3 linked regions of the Drosophila melanogaster genome follow. The protein of the gene in region 2 interacts with the protein of the main gene of each other region in a pairwise test. Each region holds a gene or a part of one and is shown on either strand. Other genes may lie near its edges. The genes, in order: Z600, Nup50 and Pen.

Region 1 (9,448 bases), on a different chromosome or scaffold from region 2:
CTGCTGGCTATTAGCACGTATCTGCAGATATTTTATCGTTCAGATGCAAGCCAAAATTAAGTTCGTTGCCTTTGTGGCGAAACAATACTAATAATACCCTGGAAAGGCAGTGCTACAAATAAGATTCCAAATCAAAAACCAAAAACATTAACTTTAGTTTGAGATATTTTTTTTTATTATAATAATAAAATATATGCGTTTCATATATATTTCATACGTTTCTAAGTCTACGTAATACACAATCTGTTTTTGAACAAGCAAACTATCCATAAAATTACCCCCCTAGGTGTACGATCTACGCTTAACGTCTATGCAGATTCGGCCATGTCAGCAGTAGAGACCCTGGCCCTCGTTCTGCTCCACGTGGTAGTAGCAGTACTGCCGCTGGGTGGGCGTCAGACCCATGGTCTCCGCCTCCGCCTTAAACTGCTCGATGCCGCCGACTCCGGCCAGGTAGCCATTCAGTTTGGTGGCCACATAGCTGGTCTGCAGCAGTTTGGGGCTGAGATTTAGCGATGAGGCGAGATCCTTGTGGCCCTGCAACCTATACTTCTGGTGGTACCTATGAACAAACAAGGAAATTCATATCAACGCACTCAGATTTTCTTAGTTAAAACTTACGCCTCGGCTGGGTAAAAGTTCTCCTTGGATGCAATCTCAGTGGTTATGATCTCCGGTGCACGGCGCTCTTGCTCCTCCAATTTGGAGGCGTGTGCCACCTGCTTCTGCTCCTCATCGTGGTACAGAATCAAGGAGGCGTACTGCCTCTTGATGGGCGTGGTCAGGCCATACTCATGGTTGTTCCAGAACAGATCCAGCAGCTCCTTAAAGCTAATGACCGTGGGATCATAGTCGATTTCCAGCACCTCCGTATGATCGCCCCTGTTGAGATTGGTGGTTAGTACCGGATCCGAAAGGATTATGGGATGCAACATGTAGGGACGTGAAAGGAAGACATATGGATGATTAATGCTCTCAACTTGCTCCCTTACATTTTACGGTACGTTGGCAAATCCGAGCTGCCTCCGGCGTAGCCCACGGTGGTTCTCAAAACTCCACGGGTGGCTCCATACAGGGATTCTGCGCCCCAAAAGCAACCCATGCCGAAAGTGGCCGTGGCTTTGGTGACATTCACATCGTGAACCGGCGAAATGTTCAGTTCCTTTTGTTCATTGCGAACGGTGCTCTGGAAGAAGAAGAAGAAGAAGAAAGGGGAGTATGAGCAACAGATTTCTAAAATTTGAAATATTAGATTTATTCGTATTGAGCGCACACCAAAAACAGAAACGTAAGGCCGTAACCATAGCCCGGCAAACAGCGCATTTTAAGCACAAAATTTTATATGTATATAATAAATGCAATATTCGGCAGGTTTTAAGTTTTTTAAGTATTTTCTTTGGGGCTTTGTTCGCGTCTGATGTCGTCAGCAAAATAATAATGCACTTTGTGCGCTCATTTTAAACTCTCTCTCGCGCTCTTTTCGGTTTTCGCTCTGTTCGCCTTGCACTTGCAGCTGTCGAACAGCTGATTGAAAATACTATCTCTCTCGCACACACTATTGCAAAATCAATTTCAAAATCAAGGTCAATGGAAAAACTGATTTAAAGAAAGTAAAAGTCGTTGGCTAACAGCGCTTCACTTCGCACAGCAAACAACTAAATTAATCCTAGCTTAAATCACTTTTAAAACCATTTAAATATGCGGTTTTAGGTGAGCAAAACTCGCCTTGAAATTACGAAACAGTCGCGAAAACATTATTATGTGTAAACTGCTCAACTGTTGGGAAGCAACTGAACCTGGCCAAAACAAACCGAATTCCTCTAGCCAACAAAAAGGTGCTCACATGAGCTTTAATTATTCTGAACATTAGATGTCGGAAACTGGCTTTTATGACTAAGCACATCAAAGTTTTGGCCACCCGGCCTTGGGGGTTCAAGAAACTTTAAGACTCTTCACAAATTACTTATGTCTTGTACATCAAATAATTTAATTGCATATATTTGTTTATTTATATTTGTACACTGTTTAAAGGTGTATTAAAGTCACGATTCGGCAAAAAAAAATTTAAAATATATTTCATTAGCTATCATAGCATTTTTTAATTTACATTTAAGCTCGAATTAAACCGCAGGACATTTGAAATCACTAGTCACAGGATTAGGCACCAATCACTAGACCAATTACTTACCAGATCCTTGAGCTCAGGATGAGTGACACTGGAAGTAATAGTCAGAGACATGATTTCACTAGTTAAAATTGTTATTTATTTAATGTGTCGCTTTTAACATTTAAAGCTGAACTGATGCATCTGCAGAAAGGTCGGTCCAATTTATACTGCCGCCTCTCCCGCTTTCTACGCGAATGTGGAGAGTGCCGCGCTATCGTTATCAATTCTCCCGCTCTTCAGTCTTCTGGCGGCCGGCCCCGTCTCTTTCTCCCTCTCCCGATTCTACGCTGATTAAAACTGCGCAGCGCTACAGGTTTCTTGGGGCCACAATTGATCGTACAGCTGGGACATTTGATCAGGGTTATAATTTAATTGCCTTTAATATTCTAATTTGAACAAGTCAAGTGCAGTCTTTTGTGTTCTCCGGATTGTGGACTAACTGTTATTTGCCGGGCTCGTATTTTAGCCGGCTCAAACGCAAAATGAAGTCCAACAGGAACATTTGTATTTTTATCTCCTTGGGATTCTCGGTGACATAGAAGCCGGGAACGCCGGCCTTTTGAAGTGTGGATTGTTGGTCATTAACCTGCGTAATGATATTAGATATTAGTTCAACATCAAGAAAAAACAAAGAAAGTTAAAGTAGTAAAATCTAATTTCGTATTCCCATATAAGCATTTAAAGTTATGATTAGAAATAATTTGTATTACAAAAGAAAATATCTTTAGTGATAATTTCATTTCAATTATAAGAATCTGCAGATAAATATATACCTAAAATATACCTAATCTATAGATCCATCCATAATCAAACTATGTATCATATTTGAATTTAATTTTAAATAGGATTAGGATTATCTAAGTTTGAGATTCGACTATTGTTTTTAAAGAAATTTGGATGGTAAGACCAACTAAAAGTGCGTGGAATGGAACGACTCAAAAGGATATTGAATTCTTCACCTTTTGATCTAGTATTTCGATAATCTTCGTATCCGACTCGTGTAGTTTCTTAGTGTGCTTTATTTTCATGAGTCCCAAAATGTGGCGCAACTCCTCGGGATCCTTGATCTTGCTCCTCCACTCGGCCACTTCTATTTCATACTCGTTCTCCGCCTGCATCCGTATTTTAATTAAGTGTCTTTCGGTTTCGTGTTGCAGCTCCATTAATGCTTTTACTATTACAAAAATGCCATCGTTTAGCACACAATTGGCGAGTTCGGTGAGTAGATCGTAGGAAATGCGTGTCTGCAAGTTTCTGTTAATCAAAAATGGCGTTAAATATTTAAATAAACTAAATATCAAGGACTTACTCGGGAAGTTCCGAATGGTAAGTTCGCAATTGGTCCACCAAAAAATAGATTTTGCGTTGTAAAAACTCCGGAGTTGGCTGCTGATACTCCACTACTGCCTCACTAGTGTTCGCACTACCTTCGCTGGTTGCCGGTATGTCCGCCATCTTAACTAAATTGTGATTTCCTATTTATTTACAATAATTTGTGTAATATTCCCAAGTATTTGTGTTTTTAGTGATGTTTTGTGCAACCGCACTCCAATTTCGCCTCTTCGCCGCACGAACAGCTGAGCGCCAGGGCTGCAAACTGCAGCAGCAGCAGTGTGACCACAATCAGTTTGGCTGCCCACATAACGGTAAGTCAGAGAAAGACGCGGAAAGTAAAATGTTTCAAAAGTATTTATATATATTTTTGTTGTATCAGAGCGTGAAAAGAATTGTGACTGTACGATTTGAAATCAATGATGCTTATGACTAAGGTGATTACATCGGTTCGTATTATGATTAGAAGTTCAAAGATTTGCGAGCCTTGATGAAATTCTTATCAGCCTCGTAAGTGTACATGCGATTCAGTTTGTTTTTGCGGCGCTTTTTGAGTTCGGTTTGGAACTTTCCGTGTCCTGAGCTGCTGGGGGTGGCTGGTACCAGGGAATACTTCTTGCTGTCCAGGGAGTAGCACTCGCGTTTTCCGAACTCATGCTGCTCCTTTGGGGTTTCCACGATTTTCAGGCTGTTCAGGCGCTGCAGCACTTGGTTGGTTTCATTTGTCGACGACATAATAACTGCTAGGCTGGCTGATCAGGAAGTTAATGTGAAGCTTGACGTTGCTGATTTGCTACTGATTTCCTTTTGCCCACGGCCTTCTTTATATCCACTTGAGTGTGCAATTTCAGGACTGCCATAAATATCTGCGCGGAAAATACAGCTTATCCGTTTTCCACATCTGTCACTTTTATGGTGCTACCTGCTCATAATTAAAATTTCCGCAGAAAATTCTCGCTAATCCCTTTTTAATGCGTTCAGAATTACGCGAGCAGGTAGTAATGGGTTTTAGTCTACCGCCATAAAGTCCGCCTTTTACAAATCGCAATAAATTAGAAAGGAATTCGTAACAATTTCCAAATTTGGTGTTTAAAGTGCATAACTTTTTAATGGAGTATATTAATTTCTTACTTTATAGATAATAATTCCTTAAAGATAATATAAAAATATAATTTATTGGATCTCCAAATGCTTTCAATTATATTGGATCTCTAAATGCTTTCAATAATCCAATCTTTTAAATGTAGCCTCTAATCAATTAATACGCTTTTAAAAAAACGCGCGCAGGTGAAAGAACCCACTGCCGTTTTAAAGTGTGTACATACTGGCGAAATCATATGGTGGGCATACACGTGTATCGGTTGTACAGTTTATGCGTTAATCGACTTCGCGAACTACGAAACCTAAAGCTGATTGCTATTATAAAATAAAGACTTTACTAAACAATTGATAGTGCCCATTATAGTTGAAAGCCTAAAGAAATAAACGCTTATCAAATAAAATCACTGCCGTGGGTTACTGCCATGAAGAAATTATGATCTGCTGAAAGTCGAGTTGTCTGCCGCATGAACGCCCTAACATACGGCTCTTTGCGGGTGTCTCTCTTAACATTTCGTTATGCGATTTGAATGGGGCAGTTGCATTGGAGCCTCGTCCGCCGAACACAGAACATTACAAACGCGTTTCCAGGAGTAATTGTCGGTGATTTTAATCGAAAACAATTGATACGAGCGCGGTGCGGCAGCCATCAAAATCAAAGAGTGCTAAATCGGAATCACTGCCCTAAGTGAAGTGTATTGTGTAACCTTTTGAGACGATGACAATAGGCCAAAAGGAGGCGGCGTGGGGCAGGCTGGGCTGCCAATGATCATATGATTGCCTAGAGCGGAAAAATACTCAAAATCATAGCAGTCGGCTAGGCATTTCGTTGCCAGAAACGAAAACAACAATACGTAAATCGAAAGGACAAGGTATATTTTCAGCCGGTACTCCCCATCTCCCCACCACCATGTACACAATCAACAAGGGACCTAGCAAAATTGTTGCTAAAACGCGTCGCGGTGAGTCCAAAATATTGATAGTAATAATGGTTAATAATGCCACAATAGACCCTTTCAAGAGAACAGCTGTTATGTCACAAAAACATACTCTTTTCCTTTCTCTCTCTCTCTCTCTCTATATATCTGCCTCTGCCTCTCTTGCTCTCTGGCTCTGTTAACTTTTTGTTTTGCCGGCGTTTTCCACAGTAAATGCGTATTTTATAGCTTTCCATGGCATGTTTTCCATCCGCAGGCCTGGCACCAAATTTTGAAAAATTCGAAAGCATCAAGGAGAGCGGCCGCAAGAACGCTAGTTTCGATCTGAACAGTCCCGAGGAGCACAAAAAGTAAGAATGCCATGCTCATATGTAACCATACCCAAATCTTGGGTGCTTATGCAAACGGATGGCACATGGTGAAATGTGGAAAGCGGGAAAAGTGACGGGGGAAAACGCGGACTGGGGTTCAAGACCCTCGTCTTATCGCACTGACATTTTATCGCAAGAATCCGTGGCGACCTAGCACAGTAATGCTAATTGCTCCCGAGCAAGTAGTCTTATTCTCGCTAGGGGAGACCCATTGGAAACACGTGGGTCAGGCGTCGGTTATCGGCTCCATTTTAATTTAAATGCCCATTGAGGCCATTGAGGCATTGACTTTTCCACGTCCGTTACGTCACGGCTCCAACGTAACTTCGCGGCAATGCTCGGCACAGGTTGTGCCAAAACAAGGCTGATTAATTTACTTATTTTACCTGGAAGGGTGTGGAGTTATTCCGAATGTCTAACTGCAATCGAAACATGTAACTTCAGAGTAGAGTACTTATAGGTAATTGAAGAGTGTATCTCATTTCTTGTTTATTTTTATGCCTTTTATATCAACTGTATTACGCTTGCTGTTAAAAGTATCTTATGGATGCGAGTTTTCTAGAATTTCCCATAGCCATTTCAGCTGAAATCTGAAAAGTTCTCTATATAAATATTAACTTTATAAACTCCCAATTGTATTTAATTTCTTGCGATTGCTTTTATTTTTAGAACTTCAAGATAAAAATTACCTAACCCTTTGCCGAAATACTATTATCTAAATTAATAAACCACAAATCCTTGTCAGTCAATGGGATGGCACTGTTTACTATCTGCCACTGTAGATAGCTTATCAGTACTCATTGCTCTTATGAGTATATATTGAGTTTGTAATTTTTTCATCGATATGTAATTTTAACATTTAAAAGCCAAAATAATGTAATCGACGAACTGCAGCGCCTTTCTCGAATTAAAATGCATTTAGCGTTCCTCGAACTGAGTAGCAAGCTGTCGAACCCAAGTTACCCCACCTCGTTCTCCAAGTGATTTATTTTCGTAGTCCACATGTTTGGTGGAATCTGTGTGGTTTGCATAAGTGCCTTTTCATTGAAATTCAAGAACATTGTTATTAAAATTGTATGCATATTTCCTGATTTTTAAAAAAACAGCATACCGCGTCCGGTGTTTCAACAGAGCTTCGCCACCAAGCGGATAACGCCAACCAAACTGATCGAGGATGAGGTGATAACGCCGCAACATGAGGAAATAATACGTTACATAAATGACTGTAAGTCGGAAATATGATTGTAAAGATGTACTTATAAGTATTTAATAAATGTGGTTTACTTTTGTTACTTTTTGGCAGCCTGGAACATGCTGGTGGCGCAGAATCCCTACGACTCGAGCTCATCCGCCAAGCCTGTTGAGAAACCTGTAGCGGATGCCAACAACAACAGCGCCGCCAGTCCAGTGGAAAGCATAATGGCCAACAGCCCAGTGCCCGCTGCCTCGACAGCCACTGTCTGGGTGGAGCCACCGAGTCCAGCGCTACAGGACTTCAAGCCCTTCGACCTGGAGTCGTGGTGGGGACGTCGCCTCTTCCAGAACATAACCAAAAGCCTGTAGGACCGATCGCATGGGATCGAATGAGTGGCAGAGCCTGATCTTTGTCAATTCCTAGATAGTCAGTGCTTCCTTCTGTGCATGTACGTTCGACTGGACATGGGCAAAATCACACTAGATGATAGTGGGCGAAACGAGATGTGACGAGAGACTTGCTTAGTTTTCGGCTAGCGACTAAGTAAATATCACTTTGGATGTTAGTGGTTGGGAGGCCACCGTGGTGGCAAATCTTGGCATAGGTTCATCTCGCATATAAGTGTGTATATGAAGTAAATTGAGAGTCGTCGCCGTTGGCCAATGTAAATAATACGATTTCTGATTTACAATTAAGAATGTGTTATAGAGTTATAAGAAACGTGTCATCTGGATGGCTTGCCATTTTTTTTTTAATGTCAACAACACTCATGTGAATTGTATAAAGTATAAGGTTCAAACTAACATCAATTTAATTGCAACCGATTTTGGTTTTACTTAATTCTGTAAATGCCGATTCCAGTTTAAATATTTGCCTGTACATACTAAAATAATTGGATTTTATTACGTCAACTCTAGTTAAGATTTAGAAATATCCAAAAAAGGAATTGGTTGAGCCGATTTCTCACCACTGGCGTTGCCTGTATTTAGTTTCTCACTATAAAACGATTTATGTTTAGCATAAATAAAATTAAAATCAACAAAATTATATTCGCTTTTAACAGAAATATTTTAAAAGTTTAATTAATGGGGGGAAAGGGAATGCGAGAATTTACTTTGTGTGATGCGTAACAATGAATGGAGATTACCCTCTTTACTTACATTAGATTTTTGTTTAAATTTTCCATCCCAAATGATATAACAAGAAATAAATTAGTTTATTTAAAGATTATTCACTATATTACAGAAATTTCAAATTTAAACTTGGTCTATTTCCATACAGTCAAAATACTAAATACTAAAGTAAAATAAAGTATATTATAACGGTGACGATATTTCCGACAGCTTTCGGTATATAATAACGCAAGCTGGTCACTCTTCCAAAACCTGCCAAAATAATTTTTTGTCAGGATTAAGTTTATTGTTATTTATTAAATAAAAAAACATGTGTGACGGCGATGTGGCAATTGCGGAGCTGGAATCCCGTCTGGATGAGGTCAGTCTGGAGGACATAGGTGCCAGACATCGTCGCGAGCGCAAGGATTTGCAGGCCAAGCTGCAGGCCATGAAGAAGAATGCGCCGAAAAATAATAAAAACAAGCGGAAGGAGTTCCTGGAGGAGATGGCTCGCCTGGAGGGAGAGCTGGAGCAGCGCCACAAGGCGGAACTGAAGGCAGCGGAAGCCATGGAGGCACCGGTGTTGGTGGAACCGGTCGTCAAAGAGCCAGCGGAAAAGCCAGAAACTGAAGTGACAGACGATGATGGAATCGAGGAAAAAGAGGAACAGCTGGCGCCCAATCAGCGTGTTTCCAAGGCACAGAAACGCCGGGACAAGAAGGCAAAGGAGGCACGTGCACGAGAGGCAGAGATCAAGACGGAGCTGCAAAATGCTGCCAATCAGCCAACGCCCAAGTTAATCGAACTGCAGCAGATTACAGCAAAGCTATCCCAACGCCAATTATCCCTTCACAATATACCCTCCGATGGCGACTGCTTATATCAGTCCATCAGACACCAACTTATCGTAAATGCTCTTCCAGGTAATGCTTCACGATTCAGTCCACACAGCACCAAAACTAATCCATAATAATTGCACCAAAGGTCACAGTGTTCAGGAGTTGCGGGAGGAAACTGCCAATTATGTGCGTGCTCACAAGGACTCGCTTATCTCATACATGATCCACCCGGAAACAGGAGACATTCTGAACGACCAACAATTCGAACAATACTGCCACGACATAGCAAAAACTCACGCTTGGGGTGGCCACATAGAACTGAAGGCCATCTCATCGCTACTCCGGGTGCCCATTGAAGTTATCCAAGCGGAAGGAGCACCGACGCTCCTGGGG
Region 2 (11,296 bases):
GCGGAGCAGCAGCTTCATGCACTCCCTCCGATCGTGCAGAGCGCACAAATGCAACGCCGTATTCTTTCCCGTCACATCCAACAGACCGGCCGGATTGGTAGCTTTGTTAAGACCTTTAGGCGGCATATTTTGGATGAGAAAGTCGACTATGTGCAGCGTAGATCCCATCTCGCGCAGCACGGCCAGATGGAGGGCCGTCTCTCCGGCATCAGAGCTGGGCAGACAGCAAGTGAGATCCGCTCCTTCCGCCCACACCTGGAGCAACTGACTCATGTCGGCGTTGACCACAGCCTGCTCTAAGTCGCACCGTAAGTCGTTGTCATCCGAGCACGTGCGCATGACATAGCGCTTGGCAACATACTTGGCGCGGATAAAATCGTAACGCTCTTCCCTGCAAAAACATATTACAACTAAGCACTTGGAGATAATCGCTACCATGCCAATAACACATACATGCTGCTCTCGTGCTGAAGCTTGCCCCTTCCCAGCTTCGCCTCCATAATGTCGTTCAGCGTGCTGTTGCCCATGGCACGAGCAATAAGCAGATTAGCCGTCGTCAGGTTGTCTAGCGTAAGACTCTGGATGCGCGAGTGGTGGACGCCCAGATCGCGATGAACCCCAGAGCACTGAATGCACACTAGAATGCCAAAGTTTAAACTGATCCAGGTCACATCGTTACGCGATCCACAGTCACAGCATCGATCGTTGCCCGGCAGTAGCTGTACATATCGGATCACAGTCTTTTGCAGCTCCACCAGACTTGGACTCATCTGCGGATTGGCGTGCTGGAAGGCCTTGGTAAGTGCCTTCTCCTTGCAGTTCACCAGGACGGCCATCCATGCCTTCTGATCGCCTTCATCCTCCGCCTGAAAGTGATACGGACGATTGTCTGCAAAAGGAAAAAGCACAATGATCATATTAGTATAAGTGATGAAAGAACCATCTCTTTACAACTCCTATAGTGCTTCACTTACAGCTGATAAGATCAAACCCGCGCTTGTCATCCGGCACCGGTTTGATCTGGCAGGTGAGCAGATTTACGCGTGTTGGCGGCTTCGACTCGTCGGCATGGAAGATGTCAAGAAAACCATCGCTGGTGACCCGGCATCGTCGTTTCTGCCAAACGCGACGCACCTTGCCCTCGCTCTTCTTGAGAAGGTGGCCTTGCCGGGTGACGCCGTGGTGTTTGTCACCTTGCAACTGGTGGAGGGAGTAACCAGCTCCCCCACTTCGGCTCTCCGACGATGGCACATTGTCAACTCGCTCAAAATCTGGAGTGCTGCGCAGAACTGTTCGCAGATCCAGCAAACTGCGACGATCCTCGTCTTGCTTCTGCTTGATCTCATGCAGCTTCTCGCTGAGGTCGCCGATGTATGTGCCGAAGTGCTCGATCGTCTGTAGGCCGTCCTTAAAGTAGCTGCAGAGGCGATAGATGTTACTTCTAATCTGTGGACAGCATAACTATGTTGAGGTACTCACTTGCTTAACGCGTGATAATACTCAATAAGGTGCTGCAACAGCTCGATTCCCGTCTTGGTCTTAATGTCTTTGTACTTCAGCAAATACTCGCAGGTCTGCAGTTGGTAGAGTCGACGCTCCTTCTCCATTTCTTCGGCCACCACAGCGGCGTCGATCTCTGTGCGCACCATACCCGCCTCTTTGGCCTGGGCTTTCTTCTCCTTCTCAATCTTGATGAACTTTGCCTCGTAGTCCTTGGCCGCCTTGTCGAATGGCCGCTTCATGTCCCCCTTCACGCCCCGCAGCTCGCTCTTCAGCATTGAGTCCACCGGAAACATCACAATGTTGTTGATGTTTTGCATCTGTTTTTGTGGGTAAACAAATTATCTTTTAGATGACCCTGTAATGGTTGCGAAATCGTCATGCCTACCAGGGTCTTCATCAGCGCGCTAAGCTCCTTGGTGACAACGCTGAACTTAAGGAACGCGGCGCCGATGTCCGGCTCATCCTGCTCAATAACCTTGCCGCCCAGTCGCTCCAGAGCTCGCACCATAAACATCTCATTGTCCACATGGGCTAAAAGATAAAAGCGAAAGCAAAGATTATTTGGAAGGAAGTAACATAAATGGTATCATATCTCAGAGGATGTACTCACTGTTTCCTGAGTTGTGGATAGCCTTGACCGCTTTTTTCAGCTTAGTTAGACCCTCCCGGTCGAACTCCAATCTCTGAAAGAGATAGTTATTGCAGTGATCAATTGGGCATGGTGTCAAAGGGAATACATAAAAGTTGTTTAAGGGTTGTTTAAGGAAGTTCTATAAGACAAGAGATAGCGACAAGGTTTTGCATAATTGAGAGGCTTTGATAGAGGGAATTCTTCAAATTTCTAAGTCCGAACAATTGTATTTAGCGTTTCAATAAACGACCTGCACCTTCTGTGCTTTAGATGAGCAACCACAATGCATTCCCAAACTTAGCCAAAGATGGGAAGACACAATAGAGGAAACGCCGTGGACGGGCGCCGAATGAACAATATTTTCAGATTGAAATCGCGTCAACATTGGCATTAGGTATTCAGTTCGCCTGTCGGTCGGTTGACCAACCCCACCCCTTCGATACTCCCATCATATTTTATGGCACCAGCTAATTGAAAATGTACGACAAGGTCACTTCTATTATTAAACTTAATAACCGAACCAGCACCATTTTAAATGCAGTCGCATGCACCAATTAAGACAGCAAGTGAAAAAGATTCGAGGCAATTTCCCTACCGAAACACACCCCCCATTTTCCAGCATAAATGTTTTATGCGGCAAAGTTTTTTATAATCCGAAACCGGAACCGCATAAACAATGATTTCAGTACATTTCCGAAGTCGAGAAGGAAAGAGTTCGTTCCCCCATTGACCCGATGACTCTCCCCAATTGCCTCCAATTCAAAATGCTGTGTTCAGAATTGAATTAGCCGCCAAGGAGGGGCGCAGGGATCCTGACACAACTGCGAATCATATGGGAATCGGCAAAGATCGCTTACATTCCTGCTGAAACTGATATATGAGCTACCAGACAACAACTGCCCAATAAATACTGCAGATGGAAAAAAAAGTAACAAGCGAATCGGCCAAGACCGAACTCCGGGAAACCTGACTATTTGCGATTGCAATTCTATACTACGCGATAGTCGCTGAGTGGCAAACATCTGGGGACAAATGAACCCCTAGCAATCCGCCATCGGCTGTAGAAGATTAGTCATGTTGTTGAGCAAATTACTGGGAATGCAAACAACACGCCTAGACCGAAAACAAAAACCAGCTAACGATATTCGTCAACTTGTTTTGCTCTTTGGACGAGTTGCGCGGCCAGTTAGCTGTTTTGATAACAAAAGATGCTAATTTATAATAAGTCAAAGCCCCAGAAGATGGCTAAAACAGCAGCACTTTGTTGTGGAGCGGCCAAATGAATGGCACAGAGAGAAACTCTTGGACGCACAAAATTAAATTTCATTTTAGACAGTCAGTTTTACAGCTGCTCCAAATATAATAAACACGCAATGGGAGAGACTGGCTAAAAAAAAAAGAGAAATAAAATTCATTTAACTGGCGGGGAATGGAGGTCACTGGGCTGCTTGGGCTACACCAAAAATCCATCAGCAAAATTAAATATTAAATGTTTGACGTGGCGTCCAAGAAGGCGGCCCAGAGTTCCGGGAAAAACTGGGCATGACGTGACCGACCAATAAATCGTCTAATTTTGTTTCGCCGGGCGGGCGCTGCATTAGCCTGGGGAATTGGAGCAATATGTGTATATTGCACAACCGGCCCACTCAAGGGTCTTTTGGATGACAACATGGATGACTTTTCCACTTAGGCGTTCTGTGTTTTCTGTGGACGATATCCCCAGCTGACTGAGTGTTCCCGTACGGGAATAGCCGCGGTTCTCGGATTCGCTGCTCTTATCACACGCCTTTTTCCGGCCGTAAAATACTCTTTGTGTGCTTAGCTTTATCAGCGGGCGATTTATATCCGTGCACTTACATACATATGAAAGTGGAGGCGACATCACAGCTGCCTTGAGTAAATATAGAAATTACAGCATGCTTATGTGGCAGCCACTCCCACTTCGGTGCCCAGCCCCCAGTTCCCTGCGCCCCTAGCTCCATCTGCTCTTGCACGTTCCGGAATGCACTTTGTATTTCCATTGTACTATTTTTGTGGAATCGTGGAATCGAGGAAAAACCACCTTGCGGGCAGACAGAGAGAGAGCGCGAGCCGGGAGAGAGAGACCGCACTAAAATAACAGGCGGTGGCTCATTTTGGCGCCGCGCCAATTTACAAATCTGTCCGCTGCAGCCCCCCGGAAAATAGTAATCATCACCGTTTGGCAGGGGGCGTCGCCTGCCATGTTAGCTGCAGTATCGCGTGGTCACATAGCCGTGCTCCTGTTTTCACTTTCACCGACATCGATCAGATTCCATTAAATTAGGAACTTTGTTTTGCAAAACCGATTATTATTACAGATTATCCGCAGATGGATCGGAATTTTAATCATTGAAATAAACAAGTAATGACGATAACACATTCCTCACTCTCCGTAGCCTACGAAGATATTAGTTTTTGAACAGTAAACCCAATTTTTCAGCGGTTCAAATGCCTTTAAATTCAGTGACCCCTAGACTGTTTATATGTTTAGCTCAAATATAAAACTATATAGACTGGGATTCCCAGAACACACCTGTAAACCCACCAGGATAGCCCACCTTAAACTAGGGATTGCTTGGGCTGTAGGTACACAGATTGTTGGCTTTTTGGACTACCTGCCTCTACATAAGGAACATGGCTTAGGAATTGCCTGGTCAACACACTTACCTCTTCCAAGACGCCAATCGTGTGGCGGCAGTCGGGCATCCTCGAGGCGAAGGTGGAGGTGGTGGGCGAGCTGTAATCGGAGCGCGTCTCCTCCACAAACTCGGACACGGCAATCAGGGATGGCGGCATTTTGCTGCTCAGGATATCCCGATGTCCTGGTATATACAGCGTATCTTTTACTCACACGCACACTCACTCACACACACACACACGCGAGTCGCACGCACACCAGCTCACGCCCAAGGCCGTGGAACGGGAGCAAAATGGGAGTGGGAGCGGGACGGCAAATAGCTGAGAAACTACCAGGATAACGCCTTTAAGCACTGTACGTGTCTCTGCGTCTTTGTTCACTCCCGATTTGTGTTGTTGCTCGTCGCACTTTCCCTGGCACTATATCCATATATCCACACACTGGCGTTCTCATCATCCTCATGCAATTTGGCTTTTTGCTTTTCGCTTTTCGGTTTTCTGCGTTTTTGGTACTGCTCGTACTACTCGAGATGCACAATTAACTTTGTCTCTGGGCGAGGGAAGTGCGCAGTACCCGGAATCGCGGCAATCATGGTAGGATCAGAAACACACTCGGACTGGTACTGCTACTGTGACTGGGACTCGCGGCACTGGACATGGTCGTCCTAACTTTAGGCGTGATTTAATACTTTTGTTTTATTGCGATTTTGTGCTGCTGGCGTCTCGCTGTTGTTACCCTATCGATATGCTATCGAAAGCAGCAGGCCTGTTTCGCTGACTCACAGTTACGTCGCCCAACTGAGGTAGCGATAACATTTATCGACCGCCAGCAACGCGGTGTGGATTTTATTCGGTTTTTTTTTTCTTTTTCACTGGCATTTGCTTTGAGTTTTAATACAGAGTAGAACAAGATGGCTGGCAAGCGACAAGCCACTTCGAACCTGAACCACGAAAACTGGGACCTGGAGGAGGAACCCGAGGAGCGCGGCACATTCCGCACGGCCACCGAAGAGGAGCTAAAGACACGCGTTATCAAGAAGGCGCGCCGCAAGATTGCCGGTGGATCGTCCGCCGCTGAAGAGGATGGCGCCGAAGAAAAGACTGCAGAGCCCAAAAGTGTGTTCAGTGGCTTTTCCGGTAAGCTATCAAATCCATGCAGACCTGAGGGACTTGCTCACTCCGATTGCTTTTAGGTTTCGGCAAGCCGGCTGCGAGCCCAGCCGCGGGTTCGCCTTTCTCCTTCCTGGCCAATGTGACGGCACCAGCCACGACCTCTAGCAGCGAGCCAAAAAAGTCTGCATTCTCGTTCGGGTTCAGCTCCAGTTCCAGTTCGGCCGATCGGCCTGTCAGCACTAGCATTTGCGGCACCGCCAGCACCAGCAGCACGGCCCCCTCTCCTTTGCCGGCCAAGGAATCAACAAGTACCGTCGATGGCGCCAAGCCGACCACCTCGATATTTGGCAACATATCAGCTGCCAAGAAGGAGAGTAGCGAGGCCAAAACCAGCAGCAGCAGCACTAGCCTCACATCCACCATGGAGACCTCCGAGTACCGTGAAAGCGTTGCTGACCTAAATCGGTCCGTCATAAAATTCCTGCAGGACCAAATGGGCAAAAGTCCCTACTGCATACTGACTCCAGTGTTTAAGAACTATGATGAGCATCTAAAGGATCTGCAAGACGAGGAGAGCGCCAGAACGAACTCCACGAAATCCAAAACGGCACAAGCTCGTTCTCAAGAACCAGTTGCAAAGGTGTCCCGTGCATCGTCGCCACCAAAAGCGGCTACTACGTTTACGTTTGGCAAGCCCAGCGCGCCAATAGGCGCCAGCGTATCGCCCTTAGCCAAGAAACCCAACTGCACCATAACCAGTGGTGGAACAACCACCACGACCGCAACACCACTGGTCTCCTTCGGCAGTACGGCATCGTTCACTGCGCCAGTGCCGTCCTCCTCCAGTATCTTCAGTTTGACAGCAAAACCCACTGGAGAAGCCAAATCCGATGATACCCCTAAGTCCAGCATTTTTAGCTTTGGAGCAAAGGATACGACCACTAAAAAGGATGAGCCTAACTTCTCGGCACCGAAGACCAATGGCTTTTCCTTCGGACTGAAAAGTAACAACGACGACAAGCCAAGCACCTCGTTGTTTGCGGGTTTCGGAAAAGCGCCTGGAGGAGCAGGAGACGGCGCAAAGGGCTTTTCCTTCACCAACAGTGCCACGCCCTTCTCTCTCGGAAACATTCATCCGCCAGCTGCAGCGGCAGCGCCTGCGGAGGAGGAAAAAGAAGAGGATACGCCCCCAAAAGTCGAGTTTAAACAGGTGATGATAAAAGAATTTTCTTTTCGAAGGGAAAGATAATATAACTTCTACTCCAAACAGGTTGTGGAGGATGACGCTATATACTCCAAGCGGTGTAAGGTGTTCATTAAGAAAGACAAGGACTTTGGCGATCGTGGCGTGGGCACGTTGTACTTGAAACCTGTCAAGGACTCCGAAAAGATCCAACTGTTAGTCCGCGCCGACACCAATCTGGGCAACATCTTGGTCAACCTTATTCTTAGCAAGGGTATACCTTGCCAGCGCATGGGCAAGAACAATGTGCTGATGGTCTGCGTGCCCACGCCAGAGGACTCCAAGGCCACATCGCTGTTGCTACGCGTAAAGACCGGTGACGAAGCCGACGACTTGCTGGAGAAGATCAAGGAGCACATCAAGTAGAGGATAGACAACTAACATGAATTCGTACATATAGATGTTGTTTAATCGTTTGTATTTTAAAAGCTATAAATGTACGAAACCCTGGAAATAGAACTCAAGAATGTACACACAAAAATGATAATCAGTCAATTGTGGCTACAATGATTTTGGCTTCAAGCATATCTTTGAGATGAATACTTAAAGTTCGCACATCCTCAGAAGACTCGTCCAACCCACTCATATAATATTGACGCAACATGCGACCGATTTCGGGGGGATAAGCTAAAAATTTTAACGAGATCAGTTTCGGGTATACAATTTAAATTGATAGTCGCTTACTTATTGTTTCCACTGTGACAATTTTGGTGCGCCGGTTAACGTAAGTGCACCTCCCGGCGACAAATTCGGTTGTGCCAGAATTGGCGTTTCCCTTAATCTTCAGCAGTTTAAATATAACCGTATCGCCCCTGGACGGCAGGCTATTGAGTGGAGTTGCAGTCCGCAGTAGGTCCCTTATAATATCCAAAGATTGCCTATTTTCTACTACTAAGATGTCAAGGGCACTCATAAGCATACATCTACCATTTAAATGCCTCGTATCTCACCTGGAATCGGTTCAATATCAGAGTCGCCGTATGAAACGTCGATATTGGAGTCGTCTACCAACATCACATCGTCGTCGGAATCGGATACTAGTTGTTCCTCAAAAATGGGCACTGTTACCGTTTTAACATCCTTCGAATCAACGTTATTTTTAATCGGAGATGCACTTCCGTCATCTGGCAAAATTTTTTCGACTTTGGGTGTTTTTTCCATAGATGTGTTGTTCTGTAGAAATGACTCAGTAAGTTCAAGTGGATTAGTTGCTTCAGCTTCGGACGGAAGAGTGGTCTCAGCTTCAGTCGAATTGTCCAGATAAGCGGATTCAACTGCTCCTATGGCCCCCGGAAGAGTGGTTGATGTTTCAATGATGTCTTCGCAAAGAGGTGCAACTGCTCTCTTTATACCTTCTGAAACATTTTTTTTATCCTTTACATCTGGTAATTCTTCGTCGTGCAAAATTTCGTAGGATTTAGGCTTTAAGGTTGAATCCTTCCCATTGCTTGGGAATTGTTTAGCCGTATCATCACTCTTAGCTCCTTTCTGCAGCAAAAAACGAGGACTGATGGGCTTAAGTTTTTTATATTCCAGAATTTCAATTTGTTGTTTTTTAGTGGGAAATTGAAATATGCGCGGAACATTAAAGGGCATCTCCAAGAGAGGGGAGCGGAACGAAATCGATAGGAGGCTAGCAGCAATGCCAGGACTCTTCTCAATTTGGTCCCCTGCTTTCAGTTGAGATAGTTTATCCGGAATTTTGTTGGACTCCAAGTGTGTTTTGTCCTGTTGCTCCTCTCGAGTTTCGTTTTCCTTCGTTACCACACCAGATTTTTCTGATAGAATGTCAGGCGATGTCTCTTGATTCTTGCTTTCTGACATTTTACCCTCCTTGAGCGTGCATCGAGAAATACTCTTAGGAGCAGGTTCATTCTCTACCTGGTCAGATGCCTCGGGCGATTTGGTCGGTTTCTTGTTTTTGGATTTATTTTTAATCTGAGGAGCAGATTCCTTGTTCTCTGTCTCGATGTTCGCTGACATGTTAGAAACTTCTGTCTGAGTTTCAGGGGCCTTTGGAGTGCCTTTGTTTGTCAAGAGCTTTGATTGTACAGAAGGTCCAGGAGCCATATCTAGCAACTCCTTCTTTCTCACACGAGATGGGTTTTCTGCAATATTTATCCATTCTGAGTTGTTCTGGTTCTTGGAGCGCTTTGAAGGTCGGAGGGGAGTGGAGGCGGTTAGGTGAACCTGTTCCTCGACGGATCGATTCTTGCGCTTTTTACTGGATTTTACAGGAGCAGGGCTCACAAAGGTATCACTATCGTGGCTGGCAAACCGAAAGGCTCTGCAAGGGATGAATATGCTCAAGTAGATCGTAAAAAGAAATAAGCTCACCTACTTGAGTCCTTCGGCAGAGTTCAACACTTTGATAGACTCCCTCGGGGGCAGATAGCATCCATCTGAGGTGAGCAGACTAATGTCCTTCTGTTTGAATGCAATTTATTTAGAATTAGCAGTTAGAGATTCTTAAAAATCTTGCCAAGCTGAAGAGGTTTTGTATGTGGTCCTGGAGGTCCTTGATGTTGTTCCATGCTGCATCGATGAAAACCAACGAATTTCGTCGTTCGTCCTTGAAAAAGTTTGATAGATCCACCTTCATGCTGGAGTGTTGCATTTTTGACTTAGTTTTCTTATGATTAAAATGATTTTAAATGTGCTAGAGATGGAAGTATGTTCGATTTCGTTATCGTTAAATCGATGTGTTTAAATTTCTGTCAAATTAATGTCATATTTTTTGTAGCGATTTATAAAAATAAAGCTTATTTGAATGACAAACTACATTAATATTAAAAAATTGCAATATGGAAAACAATATATTTAAGTCAACGAGATTTTACTTGAAATAATTTAAGTTAGTTTTAAAAATGCCTAAAGCAGAGGGCTGTAATAATGGATAAATTAAAGCTTTGCCTTGCAGAGAATTTAATTTTTTAAACTCCCCTATGTTATCGATAGCATTTACCAGCTACGCACGACCGATAGCGATAAGACAGTTCTTGTGTACAACGAAAACAAATAGTTCTTATCAATAAAGTTAGGCATTGATCACGGCTCCGAATTAGATCAATGATGTAATTCCACCACGAGGAAGCTCCGATCCGATCCGATTCCACTCCAAAATGAGCCACGGCGACCAGAGTCAAAACCAGAGCAGCCAGCGGAGCCAGGCGCTCACTGGCGGTGGTGACTCCCCGAGGGACAGGGAGAAGGAAAAGAAGGGCTGGTTCCACTCGCTGACCAGGCGCAAGAAGTCCGACTCGGCGCTGGCCGTGACTGCATCCGCCGCCGTCTCCACCAGTGGATCGCAGAACAACAACAACGAAGTGTGCGTCCTTGAGGCAGCGGACTCTTCCATGGCCAGCTGCAGCAATGGGGGCACGGGCACAGGAACTCTGCGCAGAAGGCGGGACAAGGACAAGCGAAACGTGTTTGCCAGACTACGAAGGAAGGTGGGCCAAGGGCTCAGCTCCCTGCGAAACTGGCACTCCATGGGCGACTGCGACGACGGCGGAACTACTGATGCCACCTACGAGTTCCTTACGCCGGCCATCTGTCCGGAACCCACGCTACCATTCACACACGACTACTTGCGCTTTATCCGGAAGAAATGGCTTGAGCGCGAGGACGCCCACTCGCCCAACCAGATCATGTACAAGGCCTGCTCCGAGATGCTCAAGTAAGCGCCGTGTTTCTCCGTCCATCAACGATCGATGACTCATGCCCTTTGTTTGTTTTTAGCCAAGTGTGGTACTGGGGTGAGATCTCCAGGCGCGATTCGCAGCGGCAGTTGAGTGACAAGCCGACTGGGTCGTTTCTAGTCCGCGACTCGGAAACCAGCGGATCCCAATTCACGCTCAGCTTTCGGATTGTGAACGTAACCCTGCATTATCGACTGGAATATCGCGACAATTTTTGGCACTTCGAGGAACTTAAGTACGAGTCCATTGTCGAGATGATCGAAGATATCTTGCACCGCTGCACCAACGACAACTTTGTGTGCTTTGTGAAGGTTCCCAACGAGATGCAGCCACCGTTTCCAGTGATCCTCAAGTACCCGTTGAGCCGGTACTCCAACATGCCCAAGCTGCAGGACTTATGCCGCCGTGTTCTGCAGCGCCAGATGTCTCGCGAACAGCTGGCCCAGT
Region 3 (12,105 bases), on a different chromosome or scaffold from region 2:
GGCTGCCGCTGTGAAACTCATAGAGTCCGGTTCTGTAGGCACTGAAGGGCAGGAACCACTTGCTCTGCAGATTGGCGGCCAGCAGCAGGAGCAGGGTATTGGCTGACGAACCACCTGCCACGTGAATATCCTTCCAGCTGCCGCCTCCAACGCTGGCCAGGATCTGTTCGCTGATGTGGCGACGCAGTTTCTCCGTTTGCTCCAGATCAACACACTCGGCAGTGGCATGGAAATAGGTTTGTGCAATCTTCTGGAAATCATCGGCCACTCCAGATTCAGATGACAGCATCAAACGATTCTGCAGCTGCAGGAAGGTATCTGCATCTGTTGTGATATTGCCCAGTTCCGCGGCATAGAAATTGGCCATTTTGGCATTGCTGGCAAAACGTTGCTTCAGTCGCAGTTGTTTCTGCAGCTCCTCGGCGGTGGCTCCATCCGATCCCAGGAAGAGCAGGGACAGAGTGGCTTCCAGTAGTAGTGGTGATACAACTACATTTTGTTCTGCAAAACTCGTTGCTATGCTGTGGTAAATACCAGCACCTATGTGGCAATCATAGGGCGTTGGATTGGCAGCTTCACTCATTGTGTTGCTTCAAAAAAATCCAAGAAAATTCAAGTTTTGAAATCTTTGTATGCAAAATGAAATCGTAATCTTCGTAAAGCTACAAAAAACATACACAGATATATTGCATGATAAATTACTTAGCTTTCAACTTTGGAAGGGGTATTATCTTGCCCACTTTTTCCAGGAATCTAATGAAATCTGAATCTCTTGAGAAGCCTTGGGCAGTGTTTTCGTATGCAGATGAAGTCTTATTAATATTATAAAGGCGTGAATTTATCGCTTCCACATGGTTGATTCTATCAAAAGTAATTGTTTAGCATAAATGCGCCCTACGGCATAATGCAAAACACATGTGCCATGTATATACATACATATGTAGATATACATTTGTAAGTAAACTTGGCCAAATTTATTAGGGCCATGAGATGCTTTAAATAAAATGAAAATATAATGCGGCCCAGCCGCAAGTAGATACTACATTGAATCCCATTTAAATTCACCTTGGCTCTTGAAGTGCACACTGTAATGAAAATGTAAATTGTCTACCATTTCATTTGGCGAATACAAAAGAAGCGCCTTGAACAAATAAAGTCAACTGAACACACTAGGCCAAACTTGACACTATTTTCGGCAAGTAAACAAAGCGGAAACGCCGAGGCGGAAAACTTTGTGACAGTGCTGTGGCTATATATTTGCGGCAACTTTTAATTTCACGCGAATTTCGGCAGCCGCCGCCGTTCTATGGCAAACAAACCCAATCCCACCGCCTACCACGCCCACGCCCACGCCCACTTCAATGCCCACTCGCTATATATGTACTATATAGTTTGTCGATTCGAAGCTGCAGCTCTGCACGCCGATTTCTACGCGACGCGCACACTTGCGCGCTTAATTGCCACATCAACAAACAAAATACGCGCCCACCCACCCCAATCGGAAAATAAAAACGGACCGAAACGGAAAAAAAGACCGTTTTCCGCTTCAAAATCGCGAGAGCCACGCTGCCCACACTGCAAGAAAAATCTATCAGAAAATCATGTCACTCATACTCTTTCAGTTTTCACAATTTTATCACATGAACAACTTTAAAATGCATTTTGAATAGATTTAGTATAGGTAATATACTATTCTATCAATTCACAGCAAAATTAAATGTTTTCCCAATGATTAAAATTAAACATTTTATAATGAGTACAAATTTCTTGCTGTGTACGCTATGTAGTAGTCGCTATAAAGTAGCGCTGTTCTAGTGCTAGATGTTTATTGTTTATTTTTGGTGTGCCAATTTTTTGTTTTATTCAACGAAATTAACTGCATCATGAGTTTGTCAAAAGTGCTTTCGATTTTTTTCACACTTTTTTTCTTGTATTTTGTAAACGTTTAAATGCACCAAGTGGCATATGGTGTATCCCCAACTGGATTCTCAGTGAGGCATATGAGATCAGAAAATTGTTTTCGAAGTGGCATCATCAACAACAATAGTTGTGAAAATTTCGACACACATTCAGTGAAAATGCGAATTGATTTACACACAAGGCAATTTACGAAACTACCGATTGGTTTCACATCACTTGCACTATTCTCTATTACCTTTTTTAAAAATCGTTAGAAATTTTTAAGTTTCAAATGCGTAATGTCAGTTCAGATCGTTTTGCAATTATATAAATTAGTTGCCCTTAGAGATTCACGCCCGCACGCAGCTTCGGCAGAAAGTCGACTAAACGCTTGCGCTCGGAAATAATAAAATAGCTCGAGAAAGAACCAATTGAATACATAGATCCGATCCATCGGTGACGACAATTTGGGCAACGCGGAGGCAAAAGCTCCGGATGGCGGCCAATGCTTCCACAATTCAGTTCGAATTTTCGGCAACTACTTTGCCCATGCTGAATTTTTAATCTATTTTTATAATTTGTTTTGCCACACACACACACGATTCGCCGAATTCGACGCACTGCATCCGATGGGAACAAGATCGTACGTGGACATGGTTGTTGATGTGACGTCGTCGCTCCACTGATTAAGCTTACCCTCTGGATCACTGCAATAACCACGAACGCTGCGATTCATCTTGATTGAGTTGTGCGTGGTGCGCGTTCTGTGCCAGTAGTAGACTACTACTCACTACTCACTCGTCGGTTGTTTAATCATTATATCTAATCTGGAACTTTTTTGGGGTCGCTGTCCACCGCTGCTCGAGTGGGCGTGGCTGCGGTAGATAGCTCTTAATCTTCCGGCTATCCGCTTACGGCCCAAATGCGATTTAAATGTACAAGACAAAAAAAAAAACATGTATTGACTGCATGACTTTTTATCGCGGATTTACGGACAAAAGGCGCCAGCGCATCGAAGGGATAACATTTTAAATTCGATTGCCTGCATCGGTGTATATCCCAATAGCATTCCAAATAATATACAAAAAAAAATGCCAAGGCCCAAAAATAGGCTCCAATTTTCGCAATGCTCAAATGCAGCTTAAATACACATGAAATTTAATTAATCATTCAAACAATTCATTATTTATTGACAACTTTGAATATAAACATGCGATTCGGGAATGAGGACACTGGTGTGAAGGGAATGAGTTGTTGTTGTTGTTGTTGTTGTTGTAATGCTTGCGCGAAGGTGGAGGATTAAAAGCGTTTCCTGTATACATAAATAAATACTAAACAGCCTAAAATATATCCGAAATGAGCTCGAAACGTATCCAATAAAAAGCCTAGTACACGCAAACATAAGGTGCCCCCTGTACAGACGGATTCTGGAAATACTATGATCCACGGATCCCAGCCAGCGCAGCTGCCCGAGCGGTTGCATCGTGAACGAGGAACACTGCCAGAAAGATCCATGCTGCAATCTGTGAAGTCTAGTCTAACGCGAGGAATACGGGTATGTTAAATGGGGATTCATGCGAGTGGATTTTGCCAACCCGATTCAATTATGACTTTAAGCTAATGCATTCGCCTGTGTTTCCATGCATACCTCCAAAGTGTTTGGGAATGTTTGTAAGATGTGATGATGAGTATGCGTATGTTTGACAATGGCATAGTGTGTGAGCGCGGTCGAAGGTGTAGTTGTTTGTAAGGCGTGTGAGCGGAGTTTGGAATGTGTGGGGTGGGCGATTAGAACGTGTAGCCACCTTCGGGAGCCTTGGGCTGGGTGGCATTGAACTCGAGGGCTCCGTTGACCTCCTGAGGTGCGAGCTCTTGCTCGGCCTCGTCGTCGCCGTTGCTGAAGTATGTGTCAATGATGGCGTAGGCCTTCTTGTAGACCTCCTCGTTCTCGTGCTGCTGCAGAGTTTCCAGCTTGTCTAGACCGCCCATCTCCTCGACCATCAAGCATAGGTTCTCGGTGCCACCAAGTTTCTCCGCCAGGGCAAACAGATTGGATAGGCCCGTCTGCACCACCTTGATGGTACGCGGATCCTTTGTGTCCAGCAAATCGATAAAAGGCTTCAATATTTTGTACTTCTCAATTAGATCGACGATCTGTTCGGGAGTGCCAGATGTCGTGGTGTTTGTCACCGCCCAGGCAGCCTCTTTTTGAGCCTTGAAATCACCCTTCTCCAGCACGGTGCGCAGCTGCTGGAAGATGCCGGCCTGAATCACAGCCTGGATCTGCTTCTGGTTACCTGCTGTGATGTTGCTGACCGTCCAGGCAGCCTCCTTCACAATGTTGCTTTTGTTGTGCTGTAGAAGGAGTCCCAGCCTTGGTAAACCTCCAGATGCAATTACAACGTCAGTCTAATAAAAAAAAAAAAAAAAAACAGGTCGGTCAGGCATGTTATAACAATAAGGATTAAAATCATTTGTTTTCCTACCTGTTGATCTGTGCCAGTCACAATGTTGCCAACGCTGCGCAGGGCGGGCACAATAATGCTCGGCTCGTCCATTTGCAGCAGTTTGACCAGGCGCGGCACTGCGTCCGAGTCGACCACAGCCTGGATCTTGGTGTTATCGTCGTCCGTGACGTAGGACAAAGCCCAGCAGGCGTCGGCCAGCACTTGGATGTCCTGACTAAGCAGAAGCTGCGACAGGACGGGCAACAGCCGCTTCACCTGATCGAATGGCGGCGATGGATTCTTGTTCCGGCACAGGTTGGACATCAGCCAGACGATGTTGCGCAGAAAAGAGAGCGGTGTCTCATTGTTGATCAGTGGCAAGATTCCGTCAATTACGTTGTGGTGGATGACAATGTCGCGGGCGGCGGCTCCGTCGCCGGCAATGTTGCCCAGAGCCCAGACTGCCTGCTCGGCCAGGTTCATGGACTTGGACTGGAGCAGAGCCACGAAATGCGGCACAGCATTGTGTTCGATAACGCAGCGCGTTTGGTCGGATGTGCCAGAGGCGATGTTGGTAAGCGCCCAAGCGGCCTCGAACTGCAGCATTGAGCTGTAGCGGCGAATCAGGGGATATTCAATAATGCTCTCATCAACATTCTAAAGCCACTACTCACTTGTTGGTATTCTGCAGGAAGCGTATGCAAATGGGCACAATACCATGGCCGATCATCAGGTCGATGGGTGGATTGCGCTCCCGACTGAGCATCTTGCGGGCAGACTGCATGCCCAGAAACTGGCGCTCCTGATCCTCGCTGTTCATGGCCGCCACTATCTCGTCCACGGACAGCTGCACCGGCGACTGGCCATTGAGCTCTTTGAGCGGCGACGTTAGATCCTCGTCGTTGATGTTGCGCCGCTTGAACATCTGGTCCTCCTTTTTGGACTTGCGCAGCTCGATGGTCACCTCATGGCGGCGCATGCGTGAGTCCTAGGGCAAAAAGTGAGGTTAGTTCCGAACGCAGTTCTGCGGAGGATCTTGTGTACATTACCTGCGTGTTAATGCTGTTGGCCTTGTAGGAGCCCTGTCGTGAGTTAGAATCCGCCTTACTCATTTTTTTTTTTTTTTTGAGTTTTGTGTTTTTTCTTTAAAAGTTTAGATGTTTGCTGCTGCGATGAAATGTGTGAAACTGAAAAGGAAAATGTGAGTCAATGTCAGGAAGAAGCAGAATCAAGGGCTGCTTGGGTTCTTTTTTTTTATCTCTGTCTTTTATATTCCTTTCGGCGTGCAACAGGGGCGTAACCATGAGTTCAAAAAAGGGGTTTTCTTTGTGGCCAGCAACTCGATATGTTATTCCTATGTGTTAGCCAACATAAGCCAACTAATTTACAAGATTATTTTTAACGGGGCACCCAATCGCTCAAGCCCCCGCGAGTTAAGAACTACGCCTTTGGTTGGCAACAGCTGCAGCAGCCGCCATTTGCCGATTCGCGGAAAGAGGGGAACGAGAAGAGGAGATCACGAAGAGGCGGTCAAATTGATGAACGCTAGTAAAAAGCAGTGGGAAAAACCGCGAAAAGGAAGAAAAGAGTACACACGCACTTACCTTTGTACCTTTGCCCTTTTGAATGCGTGTGCTGGCTTTTTCGAATGGAAATTCACTTTACTGAATTTTTACACAATTTTTATCGTTCCCTAACGAAACGCGAGCACGAGAATTTGTCGAGCGTGTTAGCACGCTGAATGTGTCGGTGAAACTGTAGACAAACGTAGACAGTACTCTCGTAATCGATGCGAAATTGGAGTCAATGCCTGCTTGGCGCCGCCAGAATTTACCGTTTGATTTGAAAAGCAAGCCTTAGTGGCGAACGAAACGCAGATGGCTATCGATCTTTGTCAGTTATCGAAATTTGATGCCAGTGTGAACGTAGGTGCCTAATATCGCATGTTATCTTGCTGTTAACTTCGGACAACGGCGCGTAGAGAAAAATAATGTACATTTTTTATATCCACATAATTATTACTAAATTTTTAAGTAACTTATTATTTTTTTAGTATATATAAATTTCTGGTGTAACTTGTTAACGATCGCTTGCCAAGTGGTGAAGCAGCTTTTGGATTTCAATATGTTGTTGTGGAACGTGGAACGTGTGCGCATGCAAGCCAAATTCAGCCAACAGCTGAATAGAAGTCGGCTGAATCTGCACACCACGCGGGCTCATTTAAATGTTTATGACAAATGTTTATGTTTTACTTTCTCGTCTTTACTTTTGTAAGGAAAACCTTCATCTTAAAATAATATAATATTAATAATGTTTAATATTAAGGCTATACGTTTAAAAGCTTCAATTACAATTTCCATAAATATTTATGTTCAATCTTTGTTGTTAATTTATTCAACGAATATGTGTTAAAATGTAAAGCTCTATCCATATTTAATAAGACAAAAAATAGCCACCTAAATCAATATTTAATTGGATAATAAAAGGTACTGATTTTATCTGTCTACCTTTAAATATAAAATTTGATTGTCTCTTTTTTTTTGCTTGCAAATATGTTATCATTGCACTAATACCATTTAATCTCTCGATTATCAGTAATAATGCAATAAATGCGCAGATATTTCCGGTTAATGCTCTTTTCATTTTGTTTATATGCGGTTGTCAGAAATAAACAAAATTTTTTTTAGAGATGATTGCTGCCAATCGATTTAGTCCCTTTTTCAATTGTTTGTTTTTCGATTCTTTGAGAAGTAATCCGCTAAATTAATGTGGTAAATTAATTATTAAAATCGCCGCATTTAAGCTTTTGAATTATCAGCTTATAAATGTAACTAAACTACATTTAATTTGAATTAGTAGACAATTTTTTATGTATTCTCGAAGTATTTTATTCATTTCCTTATTAATTTCAACAATATTTCCGTTCATAATCCAATCTAGGCCGTCTTCTTGTTCTCCTCCGTAACTGGAGCAGCGGTGGTGGTGGTGCTGCTGGCCTCCGGGGCAGATCGTGCCTCCACCACGTCGGAATCATCGCTGTCAGGAGCTGGGGAGGATTGACCAGCTGGCGAGTAGGGTGGGAACTGCTGATCCTGGGGATAGGTTTGCTGCTGCTGCTCCTGCTGCTGCTGCTGACCCTCGTTGTAGTCAATGGGAGTGGGTTCCAGCTCGGGCTGTTGGGCCACAGGAGACTCCACCACCTCACCCTGCTGCTCGGCAACCTGTTGAATCTGCTGTGGGGCGAACACCTGCTGGTGTGGATAGTAGATGGGAGCGGGCAGCGAGGCAACGGGAGCGGAGGAAATATGGACGGGAACTGGAGCTGGAGCGGAGACGGAAACCACTGGAGCAGCAACTGCGCGGGCAGCGACAACCGGTTCCCGCTGGACCACCGCATTGAATCCGTTGATGTCGTCGGCGGTGTAGGTCACTGTGCGCTTGAAACCATCGGCATCCAGGACGGAATAGGATCCCACAACATTGCCACCGTCACGGGTCTCCACCTGGCTTTTGATATCGCCGGTGATGCTGTCGTGAACGCCGTAGGAGAAGTCGTAGCGCGGCGAAGATTCCAACTCTACCTGTTTCAGTACAGCGGGAGCAGCAGCCACAGTCTTGACCACTGGAGCAGCGACCACGGGAGCAGCAGCCAGGGTCTTCACCACCGGCGCAGCAACGGGCAGAGCGAGAGGAGCAGGAGCCACCGCCTTGACAACTGGAGTGGGCAGGGCATAGGATCTGGTGTATACAGGAGCAGCTGGCACAAAGGTCTTGGCGTAAACTGGAGCCGCCTGCTGGTAGACAGCAGCCTGGGCCACTGGTGCCGCATGGTAGACGGCAGCCGGTGCCTGGTAGGTGGCATAGGCGGGATGATAGCCGGCATAGGTGGCGGCGAATCCTGCGCGACAGGATGCGGCGATGGCCAGAAGGGAGAAAACAGTCAGGAGCTGCACGGAAAAAGGGTTTAAATTATTTCAACATTTTTCATTCACTTCATTTTGTTAATAATTTAAGTTAATTTTGCTAAAAGAAGTGCGCTACTTTATATTTTAGCCAAAAACTATGTTTTCATACGTGCAAATGCAATACAAAAATCCAATTGCATTATACAATTTTTCAAATCCAATATTAATTTAAAATCGAAGCAATGCCAATTGGATTGGTTTTATTTTCGTGATTATGCAAATCACAAGTTATGAATTCAGTTGCACTGAAATTGAATTTGCTTCCTATTTTTTGGCCAACACCGAATTTAAACATTTAATCGATATGGAATTTTTGCGGATTTATAGAAAAATACAAGTTGGCTGGATATTTTTTTTTTCGAGAAAGGATATAGTAACACACGAGTTTAGCAATTGCCTTGAAAGTTGGCCATTTTGTACGCCATTGAAATGCCTTTTAAATCGAGCTGCTTAGAGTTCCACTTTATTAAACTCACTTTGCCTGCCATTGTGGAATCACTTCCTTTGCACTGGACTACTCGGTTTGCTCGAGGATGAAGTGGCACGTGCCGCACAGGTTGCGATGACTTTCAGACTGACGACTGTATATATCCGTCCGACTCTGGCAGAGACGTCGACTTAATGATGTCGACCACTCCCGACGCGCACCACTTTATATGGGGCGTCAGAATTAGCCGCCCCAAAAAAGAAGTGGCGCCCTCAAGAAAAGACAAAAAAAAAAAAATAAAAAGAAAAAAAAAAATCCGAAGAGCAAACCGGTAACAAGTACAAAAGTGTCTCGGCATCTTGGTTGACAATTTGACAATTGTCTTGGGCCAAAACTGGTTTCGGGTAATTTGTCTTTTTGTCCACGGTTTCGATACTGCTATCCGATTGAGTTTCGGTTTCGGTTTCAGTTTCAGTTTCGTTTTTTGGCTTTCCGCTCTCCATTTTCGTTGTCAAGTTCAGCGCTTCCTTGTAGGCCTACTCAGCGTGTCAGCGATTTGGTAATTAATTGCGTTTTAAGTGCCGTTCAATTAACTTTTCAATTGTCCGTTTGCCACCTTGCAGCGCCCTCTGTCGGAGCACAACGCACTTGGCCGTGTTTTTTTTTTTTTTTTCTTGGCGACATGCGCACGCCAATGGAGCGCCAAATTTGCTGTCAAGTTGTCCCTAAAGCCAACTATTTCTCCACCTCCCACGAAAATACAGGTGTCTTGTCAACACCTCAATATCCGCCACTATACATACGTATATAAATATATATATTTATATTTCGACTTGGTGGCTTTTGTGTGTCAGTGGCGTTTGCTTCATTGGGCGCATGATTTTCAGTTTTTTTTTTTTTTGTTTATTTTGGTCTTTTAGAAAATTTATTATTGCTCCATTTGGTGTTTATTTGGTGTCCACACTTGCAGACATTGGCACAGTTTCACATAGTTTTGCACTTCGGAACAGAGGCTTGGAAATTGCCAAATCGGATTACTAATTACAGGCATCTACCTTTATTTACTTTTTTTTTCATTTATTTACCATGAATGAGTTGGTTACCATCAAAGGTTGCCAACCAGGAACAAAATACGCTTTGGGTCACCGAAAATGGGTCTTAATTGATAATAATAACCCAGAACCGAAGGTTGCCCCAAAAGGCTTTTCTATGAAATTCGCCGCTTCCCGCGCAGCCCAACGAAAAAATGTGTCAACTCATTTGAGCGCTGTAATTAAGCGGCTTCAAGGAACCAGCCGCTCTCCATTATGGTCACAATTGTCTCCGGATGGCTGTGAACAATGAGGCATCGAGAGATCCCCGTTCAATGACTCTCCCCCACCCCCCTCCCCCTTGGCGAAGGCACACACAAAAATTGAAAGTGCGTGAAGCGTCCGTGAGCATTCTGTGGGACATAAACATTCGATTACAGCGTCCAAACACGTAGCCCCAAGCCATCAAGATGCGTGGACAGCCAGGGCACACTTATCGTCCCAGTAGGGAATCTAAATATATATATATAAATATATACATATGTATGCATATATCACATACTTGAACTTGAAAAGTCAAGTGAATGGCTTACGCTGGATAGAGAGATACATGCCACCTGCCTTAGCCACCAAAAAACACACAGCAAAGTGCCTAAGGACACGCTTCAAAGGAGATCGGATTTCCATTGAGTGAATCCTTTACTTCGCTTTTTGCCCCCTTATGTGTTTGCATATATGTATCTATTATAGAATATATACTCGTACAAATGGCAGACCGGCTGAATAGAAAGTACCGGGAAATCGATGTTGTTCAGTGGATTCTTTTCAGTTGATTTTTTTTTTATATATTTCTATGATACATTTACCTCGAAAAATAAGGCTTGATTGATCTTGATTTTATATAAATAAATAAATCCCTTTGCGGCACACAGAAACTAAAGATAAATATAAAATACCAAATTTATTGATTACTTACATAATAGCATTTTATTTAATTGCTTCTAAATTAATTACATTTTTGCAGCTCGCTGAGAACACTATCCGCACTCGGCTTTTTAATTAATTTAGACAGGTACGTCGACTGTCGGTGGGGGTTAATAGTCAACACTTCTGGCAACGACCCTCTAATTGAGGAGGCGGAAGCTGCAGCTCAATGCCAGGTGGTGGGCCAGTTGGGTCAGGGACAGGAGAATCACTTGCCTATCGGCGTGGCAATTAAAAGCCAGTGTGTGGCTGGCCAGGATGCGAGGGGATCCATTAAGCCCGGCAAAAGGGAGCGTCTGGCATGTGGCATTTGGCATTTGGCATTTGACATTTGACAAATACTTAACACTATTTGCCCGACTTAATAAACCCGCCTTCGTTGACTTTGCAGCCGCAAAAGGATATGAAAGTAGAAGGGGTGTGTGGCGTGTGAAAGGACACGGAGAGTCCTTTTGGGTGGAAACGGGCACGGCAATGATTGATTGCACGTTAAAGCCGAAGAGCATCACATCATTTCCTTTTTACACTTGACAGGAAATGCATTTTTAGTTGACGCTGGCGAAATGAGCATCGGTGTGTGCTGCCCGGAAAAAAGGGTGTGGGTGTGGGTGCGGCAAAAAGGATATAGGATAGCATACGATGTGAAGGGGATAGTGCTGGATGGGGTGCGTCAGGATGCGGAGGATGCGGCGGAAGCGGAAGATGTACGTATGCAAAACGAAATCACAGCTAGTGGGAAAATGGAAAGGAATTGAAAACAGACAAATGCAAATGCAAAAGCCGAACCTGAATCTGAATCTGAATCTGAATCTGAATCCTGTATCTGAACTGAGTCTCAGTCTGAGCCCAGGCACTCCATGGCCGTTTTCACAGACAATTTACACAAGAATCACACAAATACGAGTACGTAAACATTTTGTTCGAGGCTGAAGCTTTGGTCATTGAGCAAACCATTCGCACGGAAAGCTCGTCCAGGTGCAAACGTTGTCCCACCCGTATTTAAGATCCAAGTTGGCGCACTTTTTGGCAGCTACAGAGGAAGGAAATCAGATATTAGAGGTGTACTTGCAGTACGGACTGTATAAATGTCAAAAAATTTTCAAAAAATTTCTTATTAAATTGGAAAATTTCAGATTTAAAAAATAGTTAAATATAATGAAATGAAATAGATTTTAGTCAGTTCAGACTAAAGGTCATTTTACTTAATCATTTCCCACCGAAAGTGACGCGAAAATGACGAAACGAAAGTATATACATATGTGATACTTTAAAGCAATTAAGTTTTTGCTGATAGCTTATCTATTTAAGTGATCTATAAAAAGTGATTTGGTATACAAACATTGTCTATCTAT

What was found.
Region 1: the proteins of Nup50 (region 2) and Z600 interact in a two-hybrid assay, tested with the Drosophila melanogaster proteins (one study listed by BioGRID).
Region 3: the proteins of Nup50 (region 2) and Pen interact in a two-hybrid assay, tested with the Drosophila melanogaster proteins (2 studies listed by BioGRID).

The regions. Positions count from the first base shown.
Region 1 is NT_037436.4:15,503,910-15,513,357, reverse strand, and holds Z600 (Z600), read right to left. Parts: upstream 4,298-9,448; 5' UTR 4,235-4,297; coding exon 3,962-4,234; 3' UTR 3,845-3,961; downstream 1-3,844. Other genes in the region: MsrA (methionine sulfoxide reductase A), read right to left, coding at 328-562, 622-882, 993-1,186, 2,189-2,239; gdl (gonadal), read right to left, coding at 2,610-2,753, 3,127-3,421, 3,477-3,622; gdl-ORF39, read right to left, coding at 3,690-3,809; CG7841 (uncharacterized protein), read left to right, coding at 5,508-5,559, 5,792-5,885, 7,013-7,131, 7,210-7,469; CG7857 (uncharacterized protein), read left to right, coding at 8,545-9,139, 9,201-9,448. UniProt on the Drosophila melanogaster protein: Cell cycle regulator that is involved in modulating and adjusting cell proliferation according to the requirements of the developmental program. Interacts with mitotic Cdk1-cyclin complexes to inhibit mitotic entry at the G2/M transition.
Region 2 is NT_033778.4:8,117,435-8,128,730, forward strand, and holds Nup50 (nucleoporin 50kD), read left to right. Parts: upstream 1-5,601; 5' UTR 5,602-5,703; coding exon 5,704-5,929; intron 5,930-5,985; coding exon 5,986-7,115; intron 7,116-7,175; coding exon 7,176-7,514; 3' UTR 7,515-7,624; downstream 7,625-11,296. Other genes in the region: Asap (ArfGAP with SH3 domain, ankyrin repeat and PH domain), read right to left, coding at 1-391, 454-889, 975-1,417, 1,480-1,820, 1,889-2,034, 2,114-2,186, 4,823-4,951; coil (coilin), read right to left, coding at 7,636-7,775, 7,833-8,039, 8,099-9,435, 9,490-9,575, 9,631-9,765; Socs44A (suppressor of cytokine signaling at 44A), read left to right, coding at 10,271-10,827, 10,890-11,296.
Region 3 is NT_033779.5:10,051,050-10,063,154, reverse strand, and holds Pen (pendulin), read right to left. Parts: upstream 6,256-12,105; 5' UTR 5,951-6,255; intron 5,534-5,950; 5' UTR 5,459-5,533; coding exon 5,396-5,458; intron 5,335-5,395; coding exon 5,021-5,334; intron 4,957-5,020; coding exon 4,386-4,956; intron 4,309-4,385; coding exon 3,688-4,308; 3' UTR 3,060-3,687; downstream 1-3,059. Other genes in the region: Spn31A (serpin 31A), read right to left, coding at 1-583; Cpr31A (cuticular protein 31A), read right to left, coding at 7,283-8,293, 8,788-8,799. UniProt on the Drosophila melanogaster protein: Binds specifically and directly to substrates containing either a simple or bipartite NLS motif. Promotes docking of import substrates to the nuclear envelope. Seems to act as a cytosolic receptor for both simple and bipartite NLS motifs.